2 linked regions of the Elephas maximus indicus genome follow. The protein of the gene in region 1 purifies or fractionates together with the protein of each later gene. This does not show direct contact. Links are inferred from orthologs where the notes say so. Each region holds a gene or a part of one and is shown in the gene's direction. Other genes may lie near its edges.

Region 1 (16,425 bases):
GAGAAGATATCTATCCAACATGCTCATCGAACTCCACATAAGGTAGATTTTAAAAGAAAGTCACCAAGACATATTATAATCAAATTTTTCAAAACCAAAGATAAAGAGAGAATTTTAAGAGCGGCTAGGGATAAACGAACAGTCACCTACAAAGAAGAGTCAATAAGAATAAGCTTTGACTACTCGGCAGAAACCACACAGGCAAGAAGGCAGTGGGATGACTTATATACAAAATTGAAGGAAAAAAAAATTCCAGCCAAGAATCATATATCCAGCAAAACTGTCTCTCAATATGAAGGTGAAATTAGGACATTTCCAGATAAACTGAAGTTTACGGAATTTGTAAAAACCAAACTAAAATTACAAGAAATACTAAAGGGAGCTCTTTGGTTAGAAAATCAATAATATCAGGTACCAATGCAAGACTAGAACACTGGGCAGAGCAATCAGGTGTCAACCCAGACAGGGAAATCACAAAAATAAATCAAGATTAAAAAAACGCTCGAAACAGGGAAACAGCGATGTTATTATATAAAAGAAGACAACATTAAAATAATAAAGACGGACTAAGAAATGTAGTCATAGATCTTCCATATGAAGAGGAAGACGAGGCGATACAAAGAAATAAAAGTTAGATATAAATTTGGAAAAATAGGGGTAAATAATAAGGTAACCACAAAGGAGACAAACTATCCTACACATCAAAATAAAATACAAGAAAAAAATAAAGACTCAGCAAAAACAAAATCAACAACAACGAAATGAGGAAAGGACAATATATAAAGATAATCTATTCATCACATAAAATTAAGTAGGAAAAGAAACTGTCAACAACACACAAAAAAAGACATCAAAATGATAGCACTAAATTCATCCCTATCCATAATTACGTTGAATGTAAATGGACTAAATGCAACAATAAAGAAAAAGAGAGAGGGCAGAATGGATGAAAAAACATGATCCGTCTATATGCTGCCTACAAGAGACACACCTTAAACTTAGAGACACAAACAAACTAAAACTCAAAGGGTGGAAAAAAATGTACCAAGCAAACAACAATCAAAAAAGAGCAGAAACGGCAATATTAATTTCTGACAAAATAGGCTTTAAAGTTAAACCCATCATAAAGGATAAAGAAAGACACTATATAATGATTAAAGGGACAATATACCAAGAAGATATAATCATATTAAATATTTATGCACCTAATGACAAGGCTGCAAGATACATAAAACAAATTCTATCAGCACTGAAAAGTGAGGTAGACAGCTCCACAATAATACTAGGAGACTTCAATGCACCACTTTTGGTGAAGGACAGGACATGCAGAAAGAAGCTCAAAAAAAGACATGGAAGATCTAAATGCCACAATCAGCCTATTTGACCTCATAGGCATATACAGACCACTCCACGCAACAGCAGCCAAGTATACTTTCTTTTCTCACGCACATGGAACATTCTCTAAAATAGACCACACATCAGGTCATAAAACAAGCCTTAGCAGAATCCAAAACACTGAAATATTTCTTCTCTGCCCATTAGGCCATAAAAGTAGAAATCAATAACAGGAAAAGCAGGGAAGATAAATCAAACACTTGGAAACTGAAAAATATGCTGCTCAAAAAAGACTGGACTATAGAAGACATTAAGGATGAAATTCAGAAATTCATAGAATCCAATGAGAATGAAAATAATTCCTATCAGAACCTTTGGGACACGACAAAAGCAGTGCTCAGAGGCCAATTTAAGTCAATAAATGCACCACAGAAAAAGAAGAAAGGGCAAAAATCAAAGAATTATCCCTACAACTTCAACAAATAGAAAGAGAGCAATAGAAGAAACCCTCAGGCACCAGAAGAAAACAAATAATAAAAATTAGAGCAGAACTAATTGAAATAGAAAACAGAAAAACAATTGAAAGAATTAACAAGAGCAAAAGCTGGTTCTTTGAAAAAACCAACAAAATTAATAAACCATTGGCCAAACTGACAAAAGAAAAACTGGAGAGGAAGCAAATAACCCAAATATGAAATGAGACGGGTGATATCACAACAGACCCAACTGAAATTAAAAGAATCATATCGGATTATTATGAAACATTGTACTCTAACAAATTCAAAAACGTAGAAGAAATGGATGAATTCCTGGAATCACACTACCTACCTATACTAACACAAACAGAGGTAGAACAACTAAATAGGCCCATAACAAAAGAAGAGATGGAAAAGGTAATCAAAAAACTCCCAACAAAAAAAAAAGCCCTGGCGCGGATGCCTTCACTGCAGAGTTCTACCAAACTTTCAGAGAAGAGTTAACACCACTACTACTAAAGGTATTTCAGAGCATAGAAAAGAACGGAATACTCCCAAACTCATTCTATGAAGCCAGCATATCCCTGACACCAAAACCAGGTAAAGACACCACAAAAAAAGAAAATTACAGACCTATATCCCTCATGAACATAAATGCAAAAATCCTCAACAAAATTCTAGCCAACAAAATTAAAGAACATATCAAAAAAATAATTTGCCATGACCAAGTGGGATTCATACCAGGCATGCAGGGATGGTTCAACATTAGAAAAACAATTAATGTTATCATTATATAAATAAAAAAAAAAAGACAAGAACTACATGATTTTATCAACTGATACAGAACAAGCATTGGACAAAGTTCAACACCCATTCGTGATAAAAACTCTCAGTAAAATAGGAATAGAAGGAAAATTCCTCAACATAATAAAGGGCATTTATACAAAGCCAATAGCCAACATCACCCTAAATGGAGAGAGCCTGACAGCATTCCGCTTGAGATCAGGAACCAGACAAGGATAGCCTTTACTACCACTCTTATTCAACATTGTGCTGGAGGTCCTAGCCAGACCAATTAGGCTAGATAAAGAAATAAAGGGCATCCAGATTGGCAAGGATGAAGTAAAAGTATCTCTATTTGCAGATGACATGATCTTATACACAGAAAACCCTAAGGAATCCTCCAGAAAACTACTGAAACTAATAGAAGAGTTCAGCAGAGCATCAGGATACAAGATAAACATACAAAAATCAGTTGGATTCCTCTACACCAACAAAAACAATATTGAAGAGGAAATTATCAAATCAATACCATTTACAGTAGCCCCCAAAGAAGATAAAATACTTAGGAATAAATCTTACCAGAGATGTAAAAGACTTATACAAAGAAAACTACAAAACACTTCTGCAAAAAACCAAAAGAGACCTACATAAGTGGAAAAACATACCTCGCTCATGGATAGGAAGACTTAACATTATAAAAATGTTTACTCTACCAAAAGCAATCTATACATTTAATGCAATTCTGATCCAAATTCCAACAACATTCTTTAATGAGATGGGGAAACAAATCACCAACTTCATATGGAAGGGAAAGAGGCCCCAGATAAATAAGGCATTACTGAAAAAGAAGAACAAAGTCGGAGGCCTCACTCTACCTGATTTTTGAACCTATTATACCACCACAGTAGTCAAAACAGCCTGGTACTGGTTCAACAACAGATACATAGACCAATGGAACAGAATTGAGAATCCAGACATAAATCCATCCACATATGAGCAGTTGATATTTGACAATGGCCTGAAGTCCATTAAATGGGGAAAACACAGTCTAAGAAATGGTGCTGGCATAACTGGATATCCATCTGCGAAAAAATGAAAGAAGACCCATACCTCACACCACGCACAAAAACGAACTCAAAATGGATCTAAGACCTAAATATAAAACCTAAAACGATAAAGAACATGGAAGAAAAAGTAGGGACAACGTTAGGAACCCTAATACATGGCATAAACAGTATACAAAACATTACTAACGATGCAGAAGAAAAACTAGATAACTGGGAGCTCCTAAAAATCAAACACCTATGCTCATCCAAAGACTTCACCAAAAGAGCAAAAAGATTACCTACCGACTCGGAAAAGGTTTTTAGCTGTGATATTTCCGATCAGTGTCCGATCTCTAAAATCTACATGATACTGCCAAAACTCAACTACAAAAAGTCAAATAACCCAATTAAAAAATGGGCAAAAGATATGAACAGACACTTCACTAAAGAGGACATTCAGGTAGCTAACAGGTACATGAGGAAATGCTCACGATCATTAGCCATTAGAGAAATGCAAATCAAAACTACAATGAGATTCCATCTCACTCCAACAAGGCTGGCATTAATCCGAAAAACACAAAATAATAAATGTTGGAGAGGTTGTGGAGAGACTGGAACACTTACACACTGCTGGTGGGAATGTAAAATGGTACAACCACTTCGGAAATCGATTTGGTGCTTCCTTAAAAAGGTAGAAATAGAACTATCATACGGTCCAGCAATCCCACCCCTTGGAATGTATCCTAGAGAAATAAGAGTGTTTATATGAACAGACATATGCACACCCATGTTCATTGCAGCACTGTTTACAATAACAAAAAGATGGAAGCAACCAAGGTGCCCATCAACAGATGAATGGATATATTATGGTATATTCACACAATGGAATAGTATGCATTGATAAAGAACAGTAATGAATCTGTGAAACATTTCACGACATGGAGGAATCTGGAAGGCATCATGCTGAGTGAAATTAGTCAGTTGCAAAAGGACAAATATTGTATGAGACCACTACTATAAGAACTTGAGAAATAGTTTAAACTGAGAAGAAAATATTCTTTCATGGTTACGGGAGGGGGGAGGGAGGGAGGGTGAGAGAAGGGTATTCACTAATTAGAGAGTAGATAAGAACTTCTTTAGGCAAAGGGAAAGACAACACACAGTACAGGCGAGGTCAGCACAACTGGACTAAACCAAAAGCAGTTTCCTGAATGAACTGAATTCTTCAAAGGCCAGCGTACCAGGGACATGGGTGAATGTTTCGAAGGCCAGCGTAGCAGGGGCGTGGGCTTGGGGACCTTGGTTTCAAGGGACATCTAAGTCAATTGGCATAATAAAATCTATTAAGAAAACATTCTGCATCCCACTTTGGATAGTGGCGTCTGGGGTCTTAAAAACTAGCAAGCAGCCATCTAAGATGCATCAACTGGTCTCAACCCACTTGGACCAAAGGAGAATGAAGAACACCAAGGACACAAGGCAATTACGAGCCCAAGAGACAGAAGGAGGCACGTAAATCAGAGACTACATTAGCCTGAGATCAGAAGGGCTAGATGGTGCCCGGCTACAACCCATGACTGCTCTGATAGGGAACACAACAGAGAACCCCGGAGGGAGCAGAAGAACAGTGGGATGCAGACCCAAAATTCTCGTAAAAAGACCAGACTTAATGGTCTGACTGAGACTAGAAGGACCCCGGTGGTCATGGACCCCAGACCTTCTGTTGGCCCAGGACAGGAACCACTACCAAGCCAACTCTTCAGACAGGGATTGGACTGGACAATGGGATGGAGAGGGACGCTGGTGAGGAGTGAGCTTCTTGGATCAGGTGGACACTTGAGACTATGTTGGCGTCTCCTGTCTGGAGGGGAGATGAGAGAGTAGAAAAAAAAAAAACTTTTTTTTTTCTAGCAAGGTGTATGTAAGTTTTTGTGTGAGAGACTGACTTGATTTGTAAATTTCCACTTAAAGCATAATAAAAATTTTTTAAAATAATAATTAATGGATTATTCTCAGTTGGTTAAAGCCAGTCTCTACTCAGGTGCATTTAGGATTTTCATCTAGCCTTTCATGCAGGCTTCCCACTGAGGAGCTCCGTGGAGTCTCTTCCGTCCCTCAAAGCAGGCTCTGGGCAGCAGGGCTTCTGGAGTCAGGGTCTAATCCTGTGCCCCTGGAGCCCCTTCTTTCCTTCACACTGTTAGATGTAAAGAGCTGGTCTGGCAGCCTCCCTCCAGGAGGCTGATGGGAGGAGACCTTTACACCTATTGGGGTGCCGGGTGGGAGCTACAAGCTGACACCCTACTTCAGGAAGAGCCTGGGGTGTTCAGAGCCTGGCTCCTGACCCTCAAGCCCCTGGCCTTGCTGCAGGAAGCAAGTTTTTTTTGCTAAAAATTAAACATCCTCTTTATGAGCAGCAAGAAAACAGGACTTGGGATGTGTCCCACAAGGTGAATGTGGGTCCCCCCTCTCCCATGCCTGCTGCTCTCTCCTTTCTGTGGGGCAGCAGCCTGGTGTCCTGAACCCTTCCTTTCTCACACTCGCTCACATCTACAGGGAACCATGTTCCCACTGTCTCCAGGACCTCAGCCCTCACACCCACAACAAGCCCTCTGAGCTCTGCAGAGAAAGCTCTCCCTTCCTCCCAGGCCCTCAGTGACTCCTCCAGGAGGGTGCTCTCTCAGGTAGGTGTCAGTGTCCGGTCTCAGCTCCTCTGTCTACACCTCTTTCCTAGAGTCTCACTGCCTCCTTCCAGGGCTCCGCACCACTGAGGAAAGAATGAAGGAATAATGAAACAAAATGGTGAATTTGACAAGCATTTGTTGAACACCAACTGGTTTTGGCTATGGGTGAACGTGACAGAACAGAAATCCCTGTCTTTCTGAAGCTCACATTCTAAGGAATGATGAAATCAATTGTTCTGTTCTTTGAATACTCGCCAAGCTGGTTCTCACTTGAGGGTCAGTTGCACTTGATGCTCCCTCTGCTTAGAGTGCTCTTTCATAAAATATTTGTACGGTGGGCTCCTCTTCAGTTAATCCAGGTCTCAACTCAGATGTCACCTCCTCAAAGAAAGCCTTCCTTGACCATGCTGTCTAAAATAACAATTCAACCCCTCTGTTACTCTTGATCCCCTTTCACCCTGCTTTATTATTCTTCACAGCTTTTTCACCAGCTGACATAACAGTATACATTTAATTACTGTTGTTGTTAGGTGCTGTTGAGTCAGTTCGGACTCATACTGACCCTATGTCCAACAGAATGAAACACTGCCCAGTCCTGCCCCATCCTCACAATCATTGTTATATTTAAGCCCATTGTTATAGCCACTGTGTCAATCCATCTCCTCGAGGGTCTTCCTTTTTCTCACTGACCCTCTACTTTACCAAGCATGATGTCCCTCTCTAGGGACTGTTTCCTCCTGATAACATGTCCAAAGTACATGAGACAAAGTCTTGCTATACTTGATTCCAAAAAAGCACTCTGGCTGTATTTCTTCCAAGACAGACTTGTTGGTTCTTCTGACCAAAAGCAAAACCAAACCCATTGCCATCAAGTGGATTCCAACTCATAGCAACCATATAGGACAGAGTAGAACTGCCCATATGGTTTCCAAGAACTGCCTGGTGGATTCGAACTGCAGACCTTTTGGTTAGCAGCTGTAGCTCTTAACCACTATGCCACCAGGGTTTCCATATATATTTATTTAATGGTATATTTATATTTAGTACAAGGAGTTTGTTGTATAAATAAATGCATATAGATACTAAAAAACAAAAAACCTGTTGCCATCGAGCTATTCTGACTCATAGCGACCCTGGAAGACAGTGTAGAACACCCCATGGGTTTCCAAGGAGTGACTGGTGGATTCGAACTGCCAGCCTTTTGGTTAGCAGCCAAGCTCTTAACCACTGTGCAACCAGGGCTCCATATAGATAGTAGCACATTTATATATATTAACATATATATTTATATGTATATATAAAAAATATATACCATTATGTATTTCTTTATATTCACATATAATGATATATTTATGTGTTTAATATATTTTATATATTAGTAAGTATTATATACCACTATATATTTCTATATGATCATATAAATTAAATGGCAAATGTTTATATATTTCATATAATATATATCCTTCCTTGTCTCAGTTTTCTCATCTGTAAAATGGGCATAATTACAGTAACCACCTCATATGGTGGTTGTAAAGATTAAATGACCTAATATAAGAAAAGCATTCAGTGGGTGTGCTGGAGCCAACTTCTAACGGTTTGAGGGAATTTTGCAAACTGGTTGTTCAACACAGCTATTATTAAAAATTAAATGATAAAAACTTACAATTAACTAAATTATATTTTTAAAAGGTGATAAATGCTCAAAACGCATCACTTTCTAATTATTTTATTACATCTCACTGTTATCTATGCTCTTGAGGTTATTTACCTCTATTCTGTCTATATGGTAAGAATATGATATATTGGTGCGCTACTGCATTTCGTCCCAACTCGGTGTTGAGTGATTACACGTTAGTAACCTTAAGTCAGCCGAGATGAGGGTATGTAAACCAATGAAATTGGCAAATGTTAGAAATCGGAACTTTTTTTTTCTCCTTCCCAGAACGCAGGTTGTTAGCCATTTACCAGGACACCACCGAAAGCACTTAGTGCCTAGTACATGGTAACTGCTATAATAAATGTTTCCATTATTATGTTTGTGCACTGGATCGCGATGTGTATCTTTTTTTGTGGGTCGGAGTTAAAAAATGTTTGAAGCACAGAATTACGAGCCGCCAGACAGACAGTGTGCTAAACTACACCTATTTAATCCTCCCAATAAATCTGTTAAGCCTGTACTATTTATTATCTTCATTTTACAAACGGGGAAAATGGAAGTTCTAAGATGGTAAAAGGAAGCGCTAGCATTTGCCGGAGGTAGGATTCGAACTTCAGGCTGGAAGCTTCAGAGCGCTCGCATACTTAGCATAAAAAAACCTCCTTATTCTCACGAGGAGCCCTGGGTTCGAACCCACCAGCCGACTGGAAGGCAACGGGTTATTCCTATCGATAATTCCGCCTCGCAACACATGTAAAATGAATGGGTACCATCGTGCTCGTCCCATCTTGGGAAACGTAGTCCGCAGGCTCAACTAACGCCACGGTCCAAGAGTAGTGAGGAAGGAAATCGATTTTAGCATTAGAACAAAAGAACAAACAATCAGTTCCTGTGCCTCGCGATGTTTCAGCTACCCAGTGAGCGAATTCAGCAGCTTTGGTCGTGCCCGTTGCATGCTGGGAACGGCAATTCGCATGACCAGCCACGTCAACACAAGATGACGGAACTCACGTTGCACGTTCAGGTCGAGTCCAGGCCGCGCTGGAGCCTCAGCGAACCCGATTGCCAACCGTACCTTGCTGCATTCGTCCTTAAGCCTGTGCGACGAGCATTCGGGTCAACTAAGGGCACAAACTGAAGCCCTACCATTTCTCTCCTTTTTGCGCTCTCGCCGAGGCTCGGGCTGCTCACGGACCAGACTCCTTCCTCCCACTCTGAAAGCTAAGGTAGGCTGCGGGGCAAGGAGGATGTGGATCCAGGCCTAGGTTCTGTCGAGGCGCGCCTGCGCTGTCCAGCCGGCGGGGGAAGGAAAGAGGTCCGTCCTGGGCGTTGGCGGCGGCCTAGCTCTGGCAGCCGGCACTAGGTGGGCTCCAGACCCAAGGTTTCCGTGCGTAAGGGGACTACTCTTCGGCATAGGCTCGGGGTCCAGATATCAGCGGAGCCGCCTGAGGGGGGCTTGGAGGTTCCGATGAGGGCATAATTTTTGAGGCACTGATGAGCAGGGAGGAAACCTTGGTGGTGCAGTGGTTAAGTGCTACGGCTGCTAACCAGAAGGTCGGCAGTTCGAATCCGCCCAGGCGCTCCTTGGAAACTCTATGGGGCAGTTCTACTCTGTCCTATAGGGTCGGCAGTTCTACTCTGTCCTATAGGGTCGCTATGAGTCGGAATCCACTCCACGGCAATGGGTTTGGTTTTTTGGTTTGGATGCGGAGGCACTAGGGGTGTGGTCAGAGAGTTGTTAATGGGCAGTTGGGTAATGGAGGTCCGATGGGGATGTTAATAGGAGTGTTTTTAATCAACAGGTTCATTAGGGCCGGTTTGGGTGTGTTCAGCGATTGATAAACGAAGGGGTGGTAGAGTGGGCAACTAGAAGGTAATGGAAGGTGGATATGGGGGTGTGATCAAGGGATTGATGAGGAGGTATGGTATTTAACAGGTTGATGGGGAGCTATGGGGCATACTAATCGAAAAGGTAATGGTGAGGCTACAGAGCGAATAATAGAGACCGATGGAGGTGATCGTCGAGGGGTTAATGGAGGGCTAATGTGATAATCAAGGGACTGATGGGAGCAGTGATCAAAGAAGAGATAATGAGGGACTGATGGGGTATTGTAGTCAAAGGGTTAGTAGGACTATCATGACTTGATCATCCAGGAATTAATGAGGAGAGAGTAATAAATAGTAAACTGTTGGGGCATGGTCATCCAGTGATTAGTGGAGGGCAGGGTGGGCAGTGAGGGGAGAATTGGGAACTGATGAGAATTTGGTGTCAAGGGAGTAACAGAGAGGCTACAGGAGACTAACGGGGGTATGAACTATGAGATTGATCGGGGGCTAATGAGTTAATGGGGGCTGATAAATCATAATAATTGAGAGCTTAATGGGAGTCTAATATGGCATGATCCTTTAGGCATTAAGCGGGGTTGATAAATACCAACAGGACCAGGCAGCATTTGGTGGTTCAAGCCCACCCAGAGGTGCCTTGGAAGAAAGACCAGGTAGTCTACTTCAGAAAAATCAGCTACTGAAAACCCTACAGATCACAGTTCTACTCTGACAGGCATGTGGTCGTTACAAGTTGGAATCAACTCGATGACACTGGTTTTGGTTTAATCATTTAAGGAATTAATGGAGAATGGGGTGGGCAGAGAGAGATGAAGACTAAGGGGCTGGGGAGTGCAATGAGGTAGTTTTAGGAGGGTAATGGGATGAAAAAAGCAGGGTATTAATGGTGGGCTAATGAGGGCATATGAATCCAGGGGCAATGGGAACAATTGGGAGTGTGGTCAGTGAGATGTTAATGGGGATGAGGTGGTCAAAGAAGGGCTGATTGTGCGAATCATGGGGTTTAATGTGTGGAGTGCAGATGACAGTGATGGGGGGTTGCCAGGGTCAGTAATGGGTCATCTCTGAGATAAGTATTGGGGGAGTGGGCATCTATGGGGTGAGTAATGGGGGTCTGTGGATTGTGATGGGGTCTGTGGAGTAAATGATGGGTCTGTGAGGTGAGTAATGAGGGATTTGTTGGGTGAGTGATGGGGGGTCTGTGAGGTGAGTGATGGGGAGCTCTGAGGTGAATGATGGAGGGTCTGTGGGGTGAGTGATAGGGGTCTCTGGGGTCAGTGATGGGAATTGTGTGAGATCAGGGATGGGTGATCTGTGAAATGAGTAATAGAGCCTGAAGGCCCAGTAATGGTGTTGTTTGGGTCACTGAGGTCATTGGCATCAGTGACTGGGCTTTAGTCTTCCCTGCTGCTGAATGGGCTGTCATGTGAGTCAGTTGAGCCTGATTTGGTTTATGTGGTTCTTCCAGCCCCCACAGAGGTAGGTAGTGGCCCCTCTACCCAGTTACTGATACAGGTTGGCATCAGCTTACTGTTGGCAGGTCCCTGGGCAAACAGAGTACGTGAGATGGGACGGACATCAAAGGACAAGCGGGATGTCTACTACCGCCTGGCCAAGGAGAATGGCTGGCGTGCCCGCAGTGCTTTCAAGCTACTACAGCTCGATGAGGAATTCCAACTCTTCCAAGGTCCCCACCTGGCGGGCGAGTTGCTGAGGGGGCCGGTTCAAGGGGGATAGACAAGTTGGCTAGGTCTGTAGGGCTCCCTGTGGTAGGTGGGCTCAATTGGAGGATCTCTGGGGCAGACAGGCCGGCAGGAAGATGGGCAGAATCCCGAGGAAGAGTTGGGTGCATGGACAATGGATAGATGTGTGCTTCCCCAGGGGAGAGGGGTGAACTGTGCAGGGTCCCTGAGTTGGAGAGTCAGGTGCAGCTGACTAATACACCTTCCTGTGTGTGCCCAGGCGTGATGCGGGCCGTTGACCTGTGCGCAGCCCCGGGCAGCTGGAGCCAGGTGCTGAGCCAGAAAATTGGGTGAGTGTGGGGTTCCTTGGTGGGGGACAGGGAGGGGGGCTGGGTGGGGGGTTCTGGGTATGAAGACTGGACTGACATGGGCCATGTTGTCCACAGGGGTGGACATGTGGTGGCCGTGGACCTGCAGGCTATGGCTCCGCTGCCAGGTGTGTTACAGATACAGGGGGACATCACCCAGGTGAGAGCATGGCCAGGATAGTCAGGGTGTATCCTAGGTGAAGGCCCCCCATCTGGAGGCTATAGAAAATAGGAAAGAGACAGAGAGAACTAGAAAGTGAAAGAAGGAGAGATACAGTAGCTGAGAGGGAGTAACAGTGGAGAAACAGGGCTAGCAGCTGTCGTCACAGAGAAACAGCAAAAAAAAAAAAAAAGATGAGACTAGGTCCCCAAAGACAGGCAAAGCCTGAGAATTTGCCTGGGGTGGGGTCCTGGGCAGGTGGGGTTCAAGGGCAGCAGCTGGGGGAGCCCTGGAGCCACTCATTCTCCCTCTTTCCATAGCTATCTACTGCCAAGGAGATAATTCAGCATTTTGAGGGCTGCCCTGCAGACCTAGTGGTGTGTGATGGGGCTCCTGATGGTAAGCAGCAGGGTGGGGGGGCCCTGTGTATGTCTTTCTCGGGATCTTCCACCACTGTTGATTTCTTTGATCTCTTAACTTCTCACTGCCTCTTCCCTATGCTGTCAGCCTTTCCCCATATCTGGCAACTTCCCACCTCTGCTGTCTGCTCTCTGCTTCAGTCTTCTCCCTCCCCCCCTCCACCTTTCTGTTTTGTGTTTGTTGTCCACCTGTGCCTCTTATCCCTGTGCAACTGTCCAATTCCATTTTACTCTTCATTCATTTTTCCATTTATTCAGTCAATCATCCATTCAGAACACATTTACTGAGCACCTACCGTGTGCAAGCACTGTTCTAGGTATTGGGAAAACATTAGTGAATAAAATGTCACTAATTCGTGACCTCATGGAGCTGGGCACAGATGGAAAAGAAGCAAAATAAATGATTGAACTATGTAGCATGTTAAAATGTGATAGGTACCATGGGGAAGTCAACAAAGTAGGGAGGGGAAGTGGGGAGTGCATACTGGCATTTTAAATAAAGTGGATGAGGAAGGCCTCACTGACTTTAGAGCATAGACCTAAAGATGAGAGAGTGAGCCATGGATGTGTCTAGAGGAAGAACCATACAGACAAAGGGAACAGCCAGTGCAAAAGCTCGAGCCGGGAGTGTGCTTGACGTATATGTAGGAGAATGAGAAGGAAGAGTATAGCTGAAGCAGAATGAGTGAGGGGGAGAAGGGGTCAGGGATAAGGTCAGAGAGGTGACAGGGGCCAGATCCTGTAGGTGAGGGCCACAGTGAGGAATTTGGCTTTTTCTCTGAGTGAGATGGGGGCTTGGAGAAAACCATGAGAGGATTCTAAGTAGAAGAGTGTCATGCCTGACTTGGGCTGTAACAGGGTTCCTCTAGCTACTGAGCAATGTAAGGGGTGCGGGTGGAAGCACGGGGACCAGTGAGGAGGAAGGAGTCTGCATTAGTCCAGGTGAGTCGTGATGGTGGAAGCAGTGGTAGAGATGAGAAGAGGGTGGATTCAATATATTTTTGAAAGCAGAGCTGACAGGATTTGCTCATGGTATGGCTTGGATGTGGGGATGGGGTCAAGGGTAACTCAGGTTTTTGGCCTGAACAACTGTAAGGATCAAATGAGATGAGGAAGATGGTAGGAGAAAGTTCAGGAAGGAAAGTCAGGAGTTTGGTTTTGGACGTGTTGAATCTGAGATGTCAAGTTTGATCTATGAGTCTGGAGTTCAGAGCTGCAGTTTGAGCTGAAGATGGAAGTGGTAATGGTACTTGCACATGAGGTTATTTTTGAAAATAAATGAGTTCCTTGAAGGGTTAGGAGCTCAGCGTATGCTTCCAATTGGTTAGATATTAATTTGCATCCAGAACCTTAGCAGTAAGAGAGCCTAGGAAATATTTTTAGCTTTCTAACCTCTGGGAACCTCTCTGGTACAAGAAGATACATAGAACTGAAAGGGCCCCCTAACACTGTTCCTCTTGCCACAGTAACTGGCCTCCATGATGTGGATGAGTACATGCAGGCCCAGCTCCTCCTAGCTGTGAGTAACCCTGGCTTGTCCCTGCCCCAGTTTGGCTCCTTTCTGGCTGTCTCCATCTCAGCCTTAGCCATCTGTCCTGCCCACAGGCTCTGAACATTGCTACACACGTTTTGAAACCAGGGGGCTGCTTTGTGGCCAAGGTGAGTCTAGGGAAGCTTGGTCAGGGGTAGAGAGGAGTCCTTGAGGGCCGCCCTCACCCTCCTATCTTTGACTCCCCACCCCACAGATATTCCGAGGCCGTGATGTGACGCTGATCTATAGCCAGCTGCGGGTCTTCTTCTCCAGTGTGGTGTGTGCCAAGCCCAGGAGCAGCCGTAACTCCAGCATTGGTCAGTGGGGTGGAGGGGCCAGGTAGGTGGGTGGCAGTCTTGGGGGTGCATCCTGTACGGGCAGAGATGGCAGTCACCCCTCACTCCAGATTCTATCCACAGAGGCCTTCGCTGTCTGTCGGGGTTATGACCCTCCTGAGGGCTTCATACCAGACCTGACCAAACCTCTGCTAGACCATTCTTACGGTGAGAGCCAGAGCCTTGGGCCCTATCCCTGGGAAAACTCTACTCCCTTATGGAAATTATGTCTCATGAGGACCCTCAGTCCCACTCCCAGTGGAGCCTCTGCCTCCTTGTGGAAATTCTATCCCAAAAGGATCCTCAGCCCTACCTTTTGGTGGTAACTCTACCCCATTGTGGGAATTTTGCCTCATTAGGGTCCTTAGCCCCACCCCTAGTGGAAATGCTGTTCTGGGAGGATCCTCAGCCCTACCTTCTGGTTAAAATTCTACCCCCTTATGGATATCTTGTCCCAGTCCCCTGGTGGTTGCTCTTTGACCTGATGGAAATTCTCTCCCAGAAAGATTCAGAGCCCTGCCCTGTGGAGACTGCCTGCTTAAGAAAATTCTATCCTAGGAAACCTCTCAGTCTCACCCCCAGGTGGAAACTCCACTTCTATGTGGAAATTTTGCCCCATGAGGGTTTTTAGCCTCCTCTCTGGGGAAAAAAGACAAAGAGCCTGTTCTTGTGGAGATTACATTTGTGAGACAAGGTACAAACAGCATATAATAGAATGTCAAGTGTAGATAAGTGCTGTGGAAAAAAAGTAGAGTGGGCGGCAGTGTTTTAGAAGGGGTGATTATGGTGGGCCTCCCTGAGGAGGTGATCTGAACCAAGTGAAGGGTTTCTGGTGGAGGAATGGTAAGAGTAGATAGGGAATATCTGGGGAGAGCTGGGCAGGGATCCTCTTGGAGGAGTTGGTAGCCATGCTGTGGCCTGGGTCATGACTGGTCCCAGGCATCCCAGCCCAGTCCTCAGTCTTCTGTCTCCCTGTTCCTCAGACCCAGATTTCAACCAGCTGGATGGCCCCACCCGCATCATTGTGCCGTTTGTGACCTGCGGGGACCTGAGCGCCTATGATTCCGACCGCAGTTACCCACTGGATGTGAGTGCCTGGCCAGCAGTAGGCAGGGAGTGGGGAGAGCAGCTGTCCTGAGTTTTCAGGTCCTCACCATTACCCCCATATGTTCCTGCAGCTAGAGGACGGCTCAGAGTACAAGTACACTCCGCCCATGCAGCCCCCCATCTCTCCACCGTACCAAGAGGCCTGCACACTGAAGAAGAAGGGGCGGCTGGCCAAGGAGATTCGTCCCCAGGAGACCCCTATCAGCATAGTGGATGTCTTGCCCCAACCCCTGGCTGCCCCACCACGCCACACCCTGCTGGCCTCTGAGGTCTGGAAACATGGCCAGGGCCCTCAGTACCCTTTCTGTGAACCCACAGTGACCCTCTCCCAGCGTGCCTCTTTCTGCCCCCAAATCATGTGGTTTTGGGGGCCAAAATTCTCTTCCCTGCCTCCCAACAGCTATAGAATGCAATGGGTAAAACCAGGCATAATAAACAGAAAAGCTCAGCCAAGTATCTGAGTCTCTCTTATTTTTCTTGGGTAGGTGGAAGACAGTGATATGAATTGTTCACCTTAACACGTTAAGGTAAGTTTGCCTTTTATCTAAGAGCATGAGTAAAGGGCACCTTTAAGAAAAAGCTCAGAATTTCCCCTTTGAAATTTTTAGGACAACTAATAAGATTTCAATCAACAAACCTTTATTAAGCACCTGCTGTATGCCAGGAACTGCCTTAAGCATTTTACAAATTACATATTCAGGCATTCAGTAAACACTTATTGAGCACATAGTGTGTGCCGGGCATTATTCTAGGTTTGAAGATATAGCAGGGAACAAAACAAATATCCCTGCCTTCATGGAACTTATAGTTTGGGAAAGAGGTAAAAAACAGTAAGACATTCGGAATGCAAGAGTTTCCACAGTATTTACTATAGCTATCTGCCTAGAGTTTGCATTTCACTATATATTTAAATTTTACTTGCATGATGATAAATAATATGTAAAGGTAATAAAGGATATGAAAAGTAGAAGTAAAGCAGAGTAAAGAGGTGGTGGTCTGC
Region 2 (15,767 bases), on another chromosome or scaffold:
CAACCCTTTCATCCAGCCTCCCAGCCCTGCAGTCCTGTCTCTTCTCCCCCTCTACCTGTAGCCAAGGCCTCTTTCCGGAGCACCCCTAGCTCTAGCTGGGTTAGCAGTCTCCTGTCAAAGAGAGGGGTGTGGGCAGGGCCTTGCACCTTACGCCTTAGCTCCCATTTTGGAGGGAGAAGGCAGGGCCCTCCCTTTTGTTATGAAAGGCCTTTAGGGCCCTGCAGTCTCTGGCCAGGGCTGAGGTTGGCAAGAGGGGGCCCTGCCCTCATGCAGTGAAAGAATCCATTGTTGCTGGCATGGTTGCCAGAGGCTCTGGGAAGGGCTCACACTCTTAGAAGAGGGAGCTGAGGGAGCAGTTCACAGGATACTGTAGGCTGAGGAAGAGGACTTGGTGTTTCCATCTTGGGACATGGCAAGAAAAGACCACCAGATGGGTTGAGGAGTGTCTGAGGCCTGAGAGGGGCCACAGCACCACCTCCTGCAGCGATTCCTTGGGCAGACAGAGCTCCCACACCTCGCTGAAGAGGTGCTCCGGGCCCCCCAGCTACACCTCAGCATTCAAGAACCTTGATAGTTCGTGGGTCTGGGCTGAGGGTTGGACCCCATGGTGCTCACAGCTGGTGGTCCCCAGCCTCCAACTCCTCAGATCCCATAGACACCTGCTCCCCTGCACTAGGAACAACACAGGTGACCCTGATCATGCTCAGCAAGGGTTAGTGAAGAGGCAAGTTGCTGCCAGAGCAGGCCCTGGCTGAGGAGGGGCTCCCGCCAGCACCTGGGAGCCTCTGTCCTACCTGTTGAGGTACACAGGGGTGAAGAAGGGGCAGAGGAAGAGGCAGACGTCAGGGTGGCACTCCTGGGCAAGCAGGGGCAGCCAGCTGACTGACTGCTGGATGACCTCGGCTGCTGTGTTGTGGTCCAGCAAGTAGGGCAGCCACATTTCTGCATAGCCAATGTCGTGGCACAGCACCATGGCTTGTGGAATGGGCATGCACCATGAGGGGCGCCAGGGAACCGTTGTTGCCCCACATCACTCCACAACACCACCAGCAGCCACAGCCTTTGCTCCGTGACCTGCCTTGTCCATCCTGGCCTGAGTGGGGGGTTGTGCTGGTGTTTACCCAGCTCTCAAGTGCCTGGACCCACCTGGTTAGGTCTCAGCCCGCTGGCCTGGGCTGTTTGCATTTGATTAACACCGCAGCAGGGGTGAGGTAGGGTAGGGGGCTGTTGGGCCTGTGGGTTACCAGCACCTAATAAACAAAAGAAATCTGACCCTGTGTTTTTGTTGTTGTTGTTTACTTAAAAAAAAATCAAAAGGCGACTGTTGATTAGCAATTCGATCTAGCTCATTGTCCAGCAGGGCTGCCTCCAGTGCCTGGCTCACACCGTTTCTGGGTTTGCATTCTGGGTTTGCACGGTTGGTGGGCGCGGGATGGCGGGCAGGGGGGAAGGTGTCATGCAGGCCAGGGGTGGGGCCCTTTGTCCTGTTCACAGTGTCATCATATCTGGGTCACCTATTCCTGGAAACTGAATCCTGGTCATGAGCATGGATTCTGGAGTACAACAGCTTAGGTGGCCCTGGAAAAGTCATCGAGCTCCCTGTGCTTGGGGTTCCTCACTGAAAAGAAAGGTTACCTACTGGGGACTGATGTTCTGTAACAAGTGTAAGAATTAAGGAGTCGATATGTATGAAGTGCTTAGGACAGTGCCTGGCACAGAGTCTGCGCTACCGAAATACGATCTGCTGTGATTACTACTAAAAACTGCTCCATTCCTGGCTCAAAGCAGCCATTTTCCTTCCTCTCGGCAATGACTGGAACTTTACGCTGGGAGTACAGTGCAAAATAAGCTGCAGGCCCCTCTGCAGGAATTCTGAGGGGACACAGCTGCAGTTTTTGTCCTCTCTCAATCAGCCCCTGTGTGGACCTCTGTCCCCCATCTAAGGAAGTTCTCTTCCCTAGTAGGGAATGAAGCAGGGCCTGGGCTCTTCTCTTCCAGGGAAGGGCTTGGGGATGCCAAGACATGGGTGTTCCAGTTCCACCAAGCTGCCTACCAGTGCGAGGGCGTCCAGCCACTAGGGCCAAACCCCAGGTCCGACCTATATTCGGAAGCTTAGGAGCATGGAGCAGTTGCTCAGTGTACTACATTTGTGCCTGAAGGAATTGGGGAAGCAAAGGGCACCTCGAGCATCTTCTTAGAGACCAGCATTTGCCAAAAATCTGAGTGGCCCCCCACCAACCTCCCAGCCTGGAAAGTCAACAACCCAGCCCTGGTCAAATGACCAATGCCACTTGTGCAGAAGAATGGTGGGCAAGGCCCTTGGACTGGCCTAGAGCACTTGGATGTCTTCTGTTTTTGTTTTTATTTTAAGTGAAAGTTTACATATTAAGTCAGTCTCTCATACAAAACCTTATATACACCTTGCTATATACTCCTAGCTGCTCTCCCCCTAATGAGACAGCACACTCCTTCCCTCCACCCTGTGTTTCTGTGTCCATTCAGCCAGCTTTTGTCCCCCTTGGCCTTCACATCTCACCCCGAGACAGGAGCTGCCCAGATAGTCTCATGTGTCTGTCTACTTGATCCAAGAAGCCCACTCCTCACCAGTATCATTTTCTGTCTTGTAGTCCAGTCCAATTCTTGGATGTCTTTGTATGCCTTGCTTGTTTTTATTTGAACAATGCTGAAAAGCAAAAATGAAAGCAAGAGCCAGCTACCACCCCTCTGCTTTTTAAATATATATATATATATTTTTTTTTCTAGTTAAGAAATAGAGGTCTACCCTCTGGCCTTCTGCCCCACCCCAGGGTGGGGAGAACTTAACTCAGGTTCGGCTTAACTCTGGCTTCCTTCCAGGACTCCCCTGGAAAATATGTGTTCTCAGAGTGGAAGACCAAGGCCCACATTCTAAAAGTTGGCCAACCTTTGCAGGACAACCTGACCTTGGGGCCTGAGTCCAGAGCAGATGTAAAGTGATGTGTGCCAGTAGGGGACAGGGAATGCTCCAGGCCCCAGGAGCCCTGCAGGGAGGAAGGTCCCGGGAGCATCAATGCCTTGGCTCAGTCCTAGGCCTCACCACCCACCTTCTCCTCTTATGGCAGAAATCCCTGGCTTCCTGAGTGATGAGGAGTGTCGGCTCACCATCCACCTGGCGCAGATGAAGGGCTTACAGCGCAGCCAGATCCTGCCCACTGAGGAGTACGAGGAGGCAATGGGTACAATGCAGGTCAGCCAGCTAGACCTCTTCCGGCTACTGGACCAGAACCATGATGGTCGCCTGCAACTTCGTGAGGTTGGGATCCTGGGACTTGAATACACACAGGGTGGGAGTGCCCAGAATTTCCTTTCTGGTGACAAGTTCACTTGTCTACCTACCTCGACCCTAGCCTCAAGAGTCAGATGCCACCCCAGGTTAGCTTGGGCATGTCCAGGTCTAGGTCTCCCCTTGCTGCCCTATGAACACGAAGATGTCAGGGGAATCCACCTGGGGGTGATGGCTTTTACTGCCACAGTATTCAGGTGGTGTGCCTTCTCTGGTCTAGATCCCTTGCTGCCATAGCTGGGGGCCCCACAGACCTCATGGTAGATGGGATGGCAGTTCTGAAGTGGGCAACAATCCAGACATCCTACATGCCCCTCACACTTGGGCTTCTGAGAGAGGTTTGGCAGGGCATGAGGCTTATTCCCCGGACAGAGCACCCCCCTGAGCCTGGTCTTCCTGGGACCCCAGTGGCCATGCCCTGGTCAGGCCTCCCTCTGGTGCCTGTTCTCTCTTCACACCCAGAGCTTGGCTTCCCCCACCCCACCTGGAGTATCTGAGTGGGACAGAGGTCTGTTCCTCACTCTGCCTCCAACCAGCCACCAGTGCTCCCCATGGAGGCCACAGTACCAGCAGGGCTGGAAGTGCCTGTGGCTTTCAGGCCTTTTGACTACCCTCTGGCCTCCTCCCCAGATGCCTCTGACCCTCTCTGCCCACCCTCACTTCTTTCCAGGGACCCTCAGGCTCTAACCTGTGTCTTTGTCAATGCCCTCTCACCTGAACCATTAGCCCTACAGCAAGAACTGGGCCATCTGTGCTCTGGTGACTTACCATTATTGGGGCCAACTCACTGATGGAACCTCTTGTGCTGCAGGTCCTGTCCCATACTCGCCTGGGAAATGGACGATGGATGACTCCAGAGAGCATTCAGGAGATGTACTCTGCAATCAAGGCTGACCCTGATGGCGACGGTGAGCTCATACCTCACCACAGTTCTGTCCCTGTGAGCTTCCTGCCTACTCCCAGGTGCACCATCTTGAAAGCTTAGGTGCTGTCCCAATAGCCAGATGCCCTCTCTGCCCAGCTTCTGAAGTGGCTAGAGATGTGGAGGTGAGGGCCCAGCCTTGTCCCTTATCCCTGGGAAGAGGTCAGGCAGCCAGCCCCTCCCATTCTTCTTGGTGACACCTGAGAGCAATTCTTGGAGATCCTTTTGACCTTCCTCAGGCAGAGTTTGGGATGCAGGATGTGGGGCTGTCAGTTGGCAGAGTGAGTGGAGCAGAAGCAAGGGAACAGGGAGTGCAGGCTTGAGCTTGGCTGCTTGCCTTGCTCCATCCGCCTCTCTCCACCCAGGTCTGGGGTCTGCCCCTGCAGGCAGCCTCCCTGATCTAACTGAGGTCTCCCTTTTTCCTCCTTCGACCTGGAGCCATGCTGAAACACAGAAGTGGTGGTGTTGCTAACTACTGGGGGTGGGGGTGGGGGTGGGGGTGGGCAGGGAAGCTGTCATGTGAATGGCCTCTCCCAAATTGGGAACTACCCAGGAAGTTTCTGAGGTATGGTCATCACCCTCATGCTTAAGTTCTGTATACTGACTGAGGAAGATAGACAGGTGAAACAGGACTGGGAGAAATGGCCTTATGGCTGGTGAAGCGAGATTGAAGAATCTGACTTGGACCTGTGGCTGGAGGGGTGTCCTACTGCTACTGCCCCCATGTACAGAGCTGGTGACAGGCTCACAGCCCTGGAGTGTCCCCTACCCTCAGAAAAACCCGGGCCAAGGATTTTGGGTCAGACAGGATAACATGGAGCAAAGGCACCAGCTACTCTTTTAGAGCCTCAAGGGGGCGGAGCCCCTGCCTTATGGGTTGGGCAAGAACAAGGAGAGGGGGCTCTCATTTGGGGGCGCAGCCTGGCTTTCTTTGCCAAAGTGGGCCAGTGACCCAGCAGACAGGCCTGGCTAGATGTGTTTTGTCAGGGATGGGACCTGAGGTATTGAGGCATCCCCTGAGGACCAGCCCCAGGCTGCACCGCCCTGTGTGAAAGGCCCTGAAGGAGGCCCAGTGCTGGCTACTCTCTCTCCTTACCCTCCACAAGACTGAAGGGTGGCCGCCACACTCTTCAGAGCCAGGCTACAGGCTGGGGTGGTCCTTAGCCTAGGGCCCTGGCCACGCGGCTCAAGTTTCCTTTGGAGACCCTGCTCTGGCCACTCTAATGGTGGGGAGGGGACAGCTTCTTCCCTTTCAGGGCCAAATCAGAGGGGTTAACTGAGGAAACGATGAACTCCTTTGGGTCTTCCCTTAGGGTCTGATGTGACTGAAACCAGGTTCATCTGACCCAAGAGTCCAGGTGGGGTACAGGTACATATGGCCTCGCAGTGCCTGAGGCCAGGGGCTGCTGCTGCCTTTGGGGAAGACAGGGAGGTGCAGTTGCTGCTGTGGCTTCCCCTTGTGGGCTTGGTGGGCACTGATGGCAGCTTCTTTGTGCAGGAGTGCTGAGTCTGCAAGAGTTCTCCAACATGGACCTTCGGGACTTCCACAAGTATATGAGGAGCCACAAGGCAGAGACCAGTGAGCTGGTGCGGAACAGCCACCACACGTGGCTCTACCAGGGTGAGGGTGCCCACCATGTCATGCGTGCCATCCGCCAGAGGTGAGCATTTGAGGCTGTCCTCCCCCCACCTCTGGCCTGGTACAGGGGAGAAGACATGCTGGGGCCCCTCAGAAGCCCTTAACTAGGGCTGAGGACAGAATTGATTAGCCACCTCAGGATTGAGTTCCACTTTTTAGACCAGGATGGGGACCTGTTGGAAGACGGGCAATTAACAAAGACAAATGAGCCCTCATTGTAGGCAAACGCTATACAATTGGGATGAGAAATGGATGGAGTATTTGTTTTCAGCTAATTAGAAGAAATGACCCTTTTCTCTGCTCACGGGACCTCACACCGTGAGCAGCCAGATGCTTTAGATGAACAACCTCCTTTCTGAGGGGATGGGATGGGGTCAGCAAGTCCAGGTCTGAGCCCCCAAACTTAATGGAATTTCATCTTTTCCACCCAATGGGTGTCTAACATTGAGGGAGAAGGGCTTATCATGAGTGATCCCTTCGTGCCCCTACAGGGCCAGTGTGGGGTGGTTCAAGGGGCTTCCAGGGAAGGTGGGCAGGGGCAGAGATTGGAGCAGGCCCGGGGTCCATCTTGGCTGGCTCCTTCAGGGTGCCCAGCCGACTGCCTGCTGCCCACCAGGGTGCTACGTCTCACCCGCCTGTCGCCTGAGATCGTGGAGCTCAGTGAGCCACTGCAGGTTGTGCGGTATGGAGAGGGAGGCCACTACCACGCCCACGTGGACAGTGGGCCCGTGTACCCGGAGACCATCTGCTCTCACACCAAGTTGGTAGCCAACGAGTCCGGACCCTTCGAGACCTCCTGCCGGCAAGTACCTCCGTCCTGGGGGCTGTTTCCTACCGGGGGACTGCCTCTGGGTCCCAGACCAGGCACCTCTGTGACACAGGCACAGTTCTGTCCTGTGGGCATGCCCCTCTGCACGGCGCCAGAAGGGCACTCAGGCCATTCTGGTCGATACAGCTCTTGGCTCTCCCTCCAAGTTGTTTAACAAGTGGCAGTATAGGGGTGGCTGCTGGCCACCTTGCCCACTCTAGTCAACAGTGACTGAGGTACCCACAGACACTGAAACTTGCCCCCAGAGGTCTGAGGCTAGGGGCAAGGCTGGGTCCCCAGTTCTTTCTACCTTCCCAGGTGTTGATCCTGCCTCCAATGCTGGAGGCCTCAGCTTCTCTTTCCCGTGTCCCCCTTCCTTGCCAAGGTACATGAGGCCAGTCAGTGTTTCCTTTCCATGTGGCTGCTGTGGCTCAGCCCCTTGCAGCCCTGACCAGCCCTTCTGCATGACCGAGCTGGTTCTACTAGCCTACCTTGCCTAGATGGGGCCTTGGTCAGGGCCACATAATTTAGCTAAGTGCATCTATGATCTTGGCCACAAAATACATGGTGACACACAGAATAATAGGGCTTGTGGGGAGGGACTGGGGCACCTTGGCACTGTCCTGTCCCTCTGGCCCCCGGGAACCCGGCCAGCCTGTCCTGCCCATAGGTGAGCCCCTGGGAGTGTCATACAACCAGAGACCTGCTCAGCAGTCCCCCTGCCTTACAGCTATATGACGGTGCTGTTTTATTTGAACAACGTCACCGGCGGGGGTGAGACCGTCTTCCCAGTAGCAGACAACAGGACCTATGATGAAATGGTAAGGGCTGGCTGGGCTGTTGCCTGTGGGCTGCCTGGCCTTGGGCTCACCTAGCACACACCCTGCCAGGCCTGGGAGGAAGGCCCAAGCACACCCTGGCACTTTTGGCTGGTTTGCCTCTGGACACCTTTGGCTGCCTGGCCATGCAGTGGAGGCAGCTTGCAAACTCCAGCACCTTGCTGCCCACAGAGTCTGATTCAGGATGATGTTGACCTCCGTGACACTCGGAGGCACTGTGACAAGGGAAATCTGCGTGTTAAGCCCCGGCAGGGCACAGCAGTCTTTTGGTACAACTACCTGCCTGATGGGCAAGGTGAGTGCTTGTGGTCAGGCTGGGGTGCCCAGGGAAAGCTTCTCCTTACCCAGCCCCCTGTAGGGCTGTTTCTGGCCACCCCCAAATAGCATTCTGTCCTTGGTGCGCCTTCAAAGATCATCCTAACTGACCTCAGCAGCTGCCCCGGCACCAGTGTAGACTCTTGGGTCATCTTGACCTGTCATCCTTCCCTGACGCCCCAACCTACCTGCTCTCTGGGGCTGTGTGGACCCATGCCCCTTCCCAACCCAGCCTGAGAAGTGCTGTGTCCAGGCTTGGCAGTAAGAAAGCTGGTCTTGGAGGGCCAGTGGTGTTCACAAAGCACTAGATGGTTGAGATGCTAAGATCCCAAGGAGGCCTTGGGGCTCCATGTTTGCTACCTGAGGTGTGCACAGCTGGGCCCCCTCTGAGCCCTTGGACCAGAAGAGGCCGAACTTAGAGCAGCCCAGCCTAGGGTCTCTCCCAGCCTTTCCCTTGCTCACAACACCCTCCACTGACAGGCTGGGTTGGCGATGTGGACGACTACTCGCTGCACGGAGGCTGCCTGGTCACGCGCGGCACCAAGTGGATCGCCAACAACTGGATCAACGTGGACCCTAGCCGGGCGCGACAGGCGCTCTTCCAGCAGGAGATGGCGCGCCTGGCCCGTGAAGGTGGCACCGACTCGCAGCCCGAGTGGGCTCTGGACCGGGCCTACCGCGACGCCCACGTGGAGCTCTGAGGGGAGGGCCGGCACCGCCCCCTCCCCCTCCAGGCGGCCATTGCCTGAGATCGGGCCCTGCTGCCCCCCTGCCCTGCTGCAGACCAAAGGCATGGCCCATGTCTTGCCCCACGCCCGCCTCCAGCTGCGACTGGAGCGCAGTTCCTATATTCATCTTATTTATTGTGTACAGACCGATGCCGCCCTGATAACGCCAAATAAAATCACACGGCCTCGAGCCGCTGGCCTAAGAAGCTCCGGGCGGGCGGGAGGCAGACGCGGTCAGGCGGAGCTCGCCAGCAGCCCCGAGTGCTCCGCGAGCGTCACGTGAGGGGCGGGGCGGGGGCTGCCCCCTCCGCGGGCCCCGCCAATCGTGGGCGGGATCGCGTGGGGCGGAGGGTCGTCATTGGACATCAGCTGCGCCGGGGCGTCCCTAGGCGCTGCTACCTGTAGCCAAAAGCGCAGTCGATCGGCGGCGCACCGCGCGGGGAAGGGTCGCTCTCGCGAGAGCGTAGCTTCTTTTCTTGGTGGTGGTGGCGGCTGCCGCAGTTCGAGGAGGACCGACATGGACGCTCGAGAGGACTACGTGTGGCCGCGGGCCACCTCGGAGCTCATACTCCTTCCGGTCACGGGTCTGGAGTGCGTGGGGGACCGGCTTTTGGCGGGTGAGGTTTGGTTTGAAGCGCGCGCTAGCGAGCTAAGAAACTGAGCGCCAGCCTGGGACGGGGCCGCGAGGAACAAAGGGATGCCCCGAGGAGGAGGGTGGGCTGCGGGCGAGGTCCGATCGGAGGCGGGAAGGGACCCCAGGAGACGACGGGAACGAGGATGGGCCTGGGAGACAAATACTGATGAGGCTACTGCAGCCCTTCGTAAACTGCAGCCGACCAGGACAAGGCAGGCGCGGCCGCGGGAAAGTGCGGGATAACGGGGCCGTTTCGGGGGAGGGGTCCGTGGCTTCTTCGAGGAGGTGAGTGGGGTTTGGCCCCTCCTGAGGAGGCGGAGCGGGGGTTGGGGTGGTGAGCCCCCCAGGGGGCGTGGCCGGGTATGGCTGGGGGCGGGGTTGTGGCTTTTCCAGGGAAGATGGGAATGAAATTACTCTGAGGTCGCGGGAAACTGGGGATGAGACCTTTCCAAGTAGGACAGTGTCCCGGAAAGCGGGCTATGAGGCCCCTCCTGATATGGTTGGGGTCCGGGCAATCCAGTGTCGATTCCCCTCCGAGGAGGGCCAGGTGGGGAAGCACAGGCTCCGGTGACTGGCCCAGGGGCCTGGGACCGGAGGCGGCAGAGACCTGCGGAACGATGAGGTCTGACATGAAGCTACTGACTGACAATGGCGATGAGGTGCTTCTTTGTTTTAAAAGGGCCTTGAGTGAGCTGCTGCCAGTCTTAGGCAGGCAAGGGAGTGTGTGGGGGGCAGTAGCGGATGCCCAGTTTTGATCTTGGTTGGGGGCTCTGGGAGCCTCTCGAGCTAAACTACGAAGGCTCCAGGATTTGGGGACAGTTAAGTAGAAACCCAAAGAACCACAGAATGAACTAGGAGAAGGGGAGGGGTGAGTTCCTGGCAGAGGTTAAGCATGCCAAAGGCAGTGAGGCCAGAAGAGTTGGTTACTTTTCAGGAAGGAAGAAATTCCTCTGAGGCTAGAGCAGGGGTGAGGCCTGGGAGGAGAGGAGGCTGGAGAAGTGAGCTGGGGTCAGATTTGCTTAGGGCTTGATCTGACTTTATTCTTAAGGGCGGTGAGGTGGCCCAGCGGAAGGGTTTTAAGCAAGAAAATGAGTTGGTGGAAAATGCATGTTAGAAGGCTCCCCATCAAGTGAATTCACCCATTCCTGTGACTTCCAAAGTGGCTTTTATATAGCTACAATTTTTAATTCCATGTGTGCTTCAATATAATATGAATCCTCAGCCCTGTTCTCTCCAGAGTCCCCTGCCCAGGTGCACAGGTGCTTACAAACTGAAATATCCCATCTACCCTCAGTGGTCCATCTGCCTGATGGCTCAGCTCAGCAGGGAAAGCACCAGTCACTCAGATGCCCAAGCCTGAGAATCTGCTTGACTCCCCAGGCCTGTTAGGTACCAAGTCTAGTTGATTTTGACATCATTTAAATGGCACCTGTCTGTTTCTCTGCCTTTACTGACATTACCTGAGGCCATGCCACTATGTCTCCTTTAGGTCCTCAGTAATATTTTCTCTGACCTTCTTAAATCTTTCATTTTCTGACCCACTACCTCAAGCTCTTGCCTACTTTAGGGCTTCACACCTGCTATTCCTTGCCAAGAAAGTTTCTTTCCTGTCTGTTCTTCCTCTGGCTGATCTCTGCTCATCTTTGAATCCTCAGCCTACATGTTGCTCATCGAGGTGACCTCCCCTGCACTCACCCAGTCTGGTTAAATTAGACCAGGGCTGCTTTCTCAACCTCTGCACTGCTGACATTTTAGACCAGGTAATTCTTTTTGTAAGGGGCTGTCTTGTTCATGGCAGTATCCCTTGCCCTACCCAGTAGATGCCAGCAGCACCCCCCCCCCACAAGTCGTGACAACCAAAACTGTCTCCAAACATTGCCAGATGTCTCCTGGGGGGCAAAGTCACCCCCTGTGAGAACACTGTTTTAGACCTTCCCATTTTATATTTTTACGGCAACTTGTAGGGTTTCTTCCTGGAATTTGCCAGAATTGTAATGGTGTAGTTGAGCAGTTTTACTGTTTAGTGTCTGCCTAATCCAAAAGGGCAGTGTCTGTGCTTGTTCACTGACAGCATCTAGTTCAGCGTTGGGCTTATTATCAACGCTGAGTAAATGTTTGTTGACTGTTAAAAGATGGAGATTGCCGGTCAGCAGTGGTGTGAGGGGCTGTTGCTGGTCTCTCAGGTAAAAGCACCAACCTTGCTATGGTGGCGAGGGTTTGTGAACTCTTTAGAAAGGGAAATCCACAGGACTTGGAGACAGATAAGAAGTGAGAGGTTGAGAGAGGAGCAAGCAGGGGGCTTCCAGGTTTCTGACTGGAGGATGGGCAGAGGGTTTGATGGGCACTGGGATGAGGAGCACTGAGAGAATTTGGGGTGGATGTCAGTGGAGTGGCAGGTGCCTGCAGGAAAACCAGGAGGCAGCTGGGTGCTCGGTTTTAGAGCTATTTGGGTTGAGGATGAGGCTGTCCAGAAAGTCTGTGCATGAGTAAAGCCTGTGGGAACACTAGTACTTGGAGCAGATGCATCCGGGAAAGGCTAAGGAGCAAAGCAAGGAGCGCGCATGTCAGGAAGCAATAAATGACGTTTCTGTAGTCTATATTTGTTGTGTTTCTGCCATGTGCCAGACTCGGTCTCAGCCCTGGATGTCTCTTACCTCCTCCCTTCCTCCTGATATCCCTTTCTGTTGTTGCTGCTCTGGGGCTCTCAGAGCCAAGGCTGCCATACCCCAGAAGGGGGGCTCACACAGTGGGCCAATGGCAGGGCCAGGACTCAAGCCCAAGCCTCTGCCAAGACCAAAGTGTGGGCTGTCTCTCCTTGGTCTTCCCATTGATATTGAACATACGCACCCCTTCTCAGATATAGGGAGAGGCTTCTGAAAATCAGGAGGGGTGTGGCCATTGACCTGAGGGTGGAAAGGTTGCCTTAGCAGGACAACCTTCCTCCCAGTGGAGGAGAGAGGAGGAAGGAGGATGAATGGAGAGGTAGATGGGGCCACCTGGGGACTAAAGCTGAGGGGGTTGCAGTCTGAAGCATGAGAGGAGGTAGATAAAGAGGAGGCTAAGAGTTTAAGGAATTCACAGTTGAATTGAACTGGAGCCTCTGACAAAGGGAGCAGAAAGCCAGCACTGAAAATCTGGCTGAAACTGAGACCAAGGATTTCTCGAGGTTCACGCCTGTGGGATCACGTGTCCTAACACATTAACAGGTTACATGTTGATAGGTCCCTTCCCCACAGGTCACCAGCATTAGGTGGGAGGTTCTGATGCGGCTCTTTGCCTCTGTCTAGGTGAGGGTCCGGACGTCCTGGTATACAGCTTGGACTTTGGTGGGCATCTGCGGATGATGAAGCGAGTACAGAACCTGCTTGGCCACTATCTTATCCATGGGTTCCGGGTGCGGTCAGAGCCCGGTGGAGACTTGGAGTCACAGGCCACAGTGGCTGTGTTTGGGAGCAAGGGGCTCCGAGTTGTGAAAGTTAGCTGGGGGCAGGGCCGCTTCCGGGAGGTCTGGCGCTCTGGCCTGTGGAGCATGTCCGACTGGATCTGGGATACATGCTGGTTGGAGGAGAATGTGGCCGTAGCTCTGGGCCACAACTCAGTGGTGCTCTACGACCCCATGGTAGGACGTACCCTGCAGGAGGTGCCCTGCACAGATAGGTGTACCCTCTCCTCAGCCTGCCTGATTGGAAACACTTGGAAGGAGCTGACCATGGTGGCGGGTGCCATTTCCAACGAGCTCCTGGTCTGGTACCCAGCAACCACGTCAGAAATCGAGCCTGTGGCACCTGACCGGCGGGTCAGTGGGCATGTGGGTGTCATCTTCAGCATGTCGTACCTGGAAAGCAAGGGCTTGCTGGCCACAGCTTCAGAAGACCGAAGTGTCCGCATCTGGAAGGTGGGCGACCTCCGGGTGCCTGGGGGTCGAGTGCAAAATATTGGGCACTGTTTTGGGCACAGTGCCCGTGTGTGGCAGGTCAAGCTCCTGGAGAATTACCTTATCAGCGCAGGAGAAGACTGCGTTTGCCTGGTTTGGAGCCACGAAGGTGAGATCCTCCAGGCCTTTCGGGGCCATCAGGGCCGTGGGATCCGGGCCTTAGCTGCCCACGAGCAGCAGGCCTGGGTCATCACCGGGGGTGATGACTCAGGTATCCGGCTGTGGCACCTGGTAGGCCGTGGGTACCCAGGCTCGGGGGTTTCAGCTCTCTGTTTTAAGTCCCGTAGCAGGGCAGGCACCCTCAAGGCCGTAACACTGGCTGGCTCTTGGCGAGTATTGGCAGTGACTGACAAAGGGTCTCTGTACCTCTATGATCTCGAGGTCAAGTGCTGGGAGCAGCTCCTGGAGGACAAGCGCTTCCAGTCCTATTGCCTCCTGGAAGCAGCTCCTGGACCTGAGGGCTTCGGGCTGTGTGCTATGGCCAACGGGGAGGGTCGTGTCAAGGTTGTCCCCATCAACACTCCAACTGCTGCCGTGGACCTGACCCTGTTCCAGGGGAAGGTGCACAGCCTGAGTTGGGCCCTGCGTGGCTATGAGGAGCTCCTGTTGCTGGCATCGGGCCCTAGTGGAGTGGTCACTTGTCTGGAGATCTCAGCTGCACCCTCTGGCAAGGCCATCTTTGTCAAGGAACGTTGTCGCTACCTGCTTCCCCCAAGCAAGCAGAGGTGGCACACGTGCAGTGCCTTCCTGCCCCCAGGAGACTTCCTGGTATTCGGGGATCGCCGGGGCTCCGTGCTGCTGTTCCCTTCCAGACCAGGTCTGCTCAAGGCCACTGGGGTTGGAGGCAAGGCTGGGGCTGGGGGACTTGGCGTGAGTGGTTGCAGTGGTGGGGGAAGGAGCACCTCGGCTGAGTTGGGCCCTGTGTCCACACTCCCTTCCCTGCATGGGAAACAGGGCGTGACCTCTGTCACCTGTCATGGTGGTTACGTGTATACCACAGGGCGCGACGGCGCCTACTACCAGCTCTTTGTGCGAGGCGGCCAGCTCCAGCCAGTCCTACGGCAGAAGTCCTGTCGAGGCATGAACTGGCTGGCTGGGCTCCGCATGGTGGCCGATGGGAGCATGGTTATCCTGGGTTTCCATGCCAATGAGTTTGTGGTATGGAGCCCCCGGTCACACGAGAAGCTGCACATCATCAGCTGTGGTGGAGGACACCGCTCCTGGGCCTTCTCGGATACCGAGGCTGCTGTGGCCTTTGCCTACCTCAAGGATGGGGACGTCATGCTGTATCGGGCCCTGGGTGGCTGTACCAGGCCACATGTAATTCTCCGGGAGGGTCTGCATGGCCGAGAGATCACCTGTGTAAAACGTGTGGGCACCATCACCCTGGGGCCTGAATTTGAGGTGCCCAACCTTGTGCAACCTGACCACCTGGAGCCTGGCAGCAAGGGGCCTGGCCTGATCGACATCATGATCACAGGCAGTGAAGACACTACCGTCTGTGTGCTGGCACTCCCCACGGCCACGGGTGCGGCCCACGCGCTCACAGCAGTTGGCAACCATATCTCGTCGGTGCGTGCGGTGGCCGTGTGGGGCCCCGGCACCCCAGGTGGCCCTCAGGATTCTCGGCCAGGCCTGACTGCCTATGTGGTGTCTGCCGGGGGCCGGGCTGAGATGCAGTGTTTCAGCATCATGGTCACACCAGACCCTGGCACCCCAAGCCGCCTTGCGTGCCACATCATGCACCTCTCATCGCATCGGCTAGATGAGTACTGGGATCGGCAGCGCAATCGGCACCAGATGGTCAAGGTGGACCCAGAGACCAGGTGGCGTGGAGCGTAGGGTGGGGTCATGCAGGGCAAGCCCCATGCCATGCAGCTGCCCCTAGGCTCAAAGGCCCTACCTGATGGCTGTGTGTTGTTGCTGCAGGTACATGTCCCTGGCTGTGTGTGAGCCTGACCGGCCTGGCCCTGGCCCCCTCGTGGCTGCAGCCTGTAGTGATGGGGCAGTGAGGTGAGAGCATAGGGCCCAGGGGCTGGGGGAAGAGGGACGAGGTTGTCCAGATTGAGTTCTAAGCTGGGCTGCCCCCTGCCTCCCCAGGCTCTTTGTCTTACAGGACTCAGGGCGGCGGCTTCAGCTGCTTGCCGAAACCTTCCACCACAAGCGGTGTGTACTCAAGGTTCACTCCTTCACACATGAGACACCCAGCCGGCGGCGGTGAGCGGGGCTGGGTGAGGGTCCTGGGAGCGGGGCTCTTGTCCTCCATCCCCCTCATTAACCTGGCTGCCCTTTCTTGGCTCCTAGGAGGCTGCTTCTGTGCAGTGCAGCCACCGATGGCAGCCTGGCCTTCTGGGACCTCACCACCGTGCTAGACCATGGTTCCACTGCCCTAGAGCCACCAGCAGAGCCTGGGCTTCCCTCCCGTGAGTAGCTGGTGTGCACTGCACTGCCCTTCTCCACCCTACCCCTTTACCTTCACCCATGTAGCAGGCTGAGTCGTGAAAAGCATTTTCTTCCCCCAGAGCTGGGGACCCCCTGCCTCACTCTCCAGGCCCACAGCTGCGGTATCAACAGCCTGCACACCTTGCCCACGTGTGAGGGCCACCATCTTGTGGCCAGTGGCAGT

Evidence for each region.
Region 2: the proteins of FTSJ1 (region 1) and WDR6 purify together in Homo sapiens (affinity purification with mass spectrometry; 3 studies listed by BioGRID and IntAct, with this or other methods). This does not show direct contact. The link is inferred for Elephas maximus indicus from reciprocal best matches to the Homo sapiens genes FTSJ1 and WDR6.

The regions. Positions count from the first base shown.
Region 1 is NC_064846.1:123,178,164-123,194,588, reverse strand, and holds the start of FTSJ1 (putative tRNA (cytidine(32)/guanosine(34)-2'-O)-methyltransferase), read left to right. Parts: upstream 1-9,113; 5' UTR 9,114-9,204; intron 9,205-11,349; 5' UTR 11,350-11,389; coding exon 11,390-11,525; intron 11,526-11,785; coding exon 11,786-11,855; intron 11,856-11,951; coding exon 11,952-12,033; intron 12,034-12,353; coding exon 12,354-12,432; intron 12,433-13,918; coding exon 13,919-13,971; intron 13,972-14,057; coding exon 14,058-14,111; intron 14,112-14,197; coding exon 14,198-14,300; intron 14,301-14,402; coding exon 14,403-14,486; intron 14,487-15,301; coding exon 15,302-15,405; intron 15,406-15,496; coding exon 15,497-15,694; intron 15,695-15,910; coding exon 15,911-15,943; 3' UTR 15,944-15,952; intron 15,953-16,425. UniProt on the Homo sapiens protein: Methylates the 2'-O-ribose of nucleotides at positions 32 and 34 of the tRNA anticodon loop of substrate tRNAs. Requisite for faithful cytoplasmic translation.
Region 2 is NC_064838.1:53,517,578-53,533,344, forward strand, and holds the start of WDR6 (WD repeat-containing protein 6), read left to right. Parts: upstream 1-8,992; 5' UTR 8,993-9,090; coding exon 9,091-9,190; intron 9,191-9,405; coding exon 9,406-9,492; intron 9,493-9,607; exon of another isoform or gene 9,608-9,866; intron 9,867-10,501; exon of another isoform or gene 10,502-10,553; coding exon of another isoform or gene 10,554-10,596; intron 10,597-12,494; coding exon 12,495-14,967; intron 14,968-15,070; coding exon 15,071-15,154; intron 15,155-15,241; coding exon 15,242-15,358; intron 15,359-15,445; coding exon 15,446-15,564; intron 15,565-15,663; coding exon 15,664-15,767. Other genes in the region: P4HTM (transmembrane prolyl 4-hydroxylase), read left to right, coding at 3,102-3,292, 4,134-4,230, 5,743-5,905, 6,500-6,685, 7,422-7,512, 7,702-7,825, 8,326-8,546. UniProt on the Homo sapiens protein: Together with methyltransferase FTSJ1, methylates the 2'-O-ribose of nucleotides at position 34 of the tRNA anticodon loop of substrate tRNAs. Required for the correct positioning of the substrate tRNA for methylation.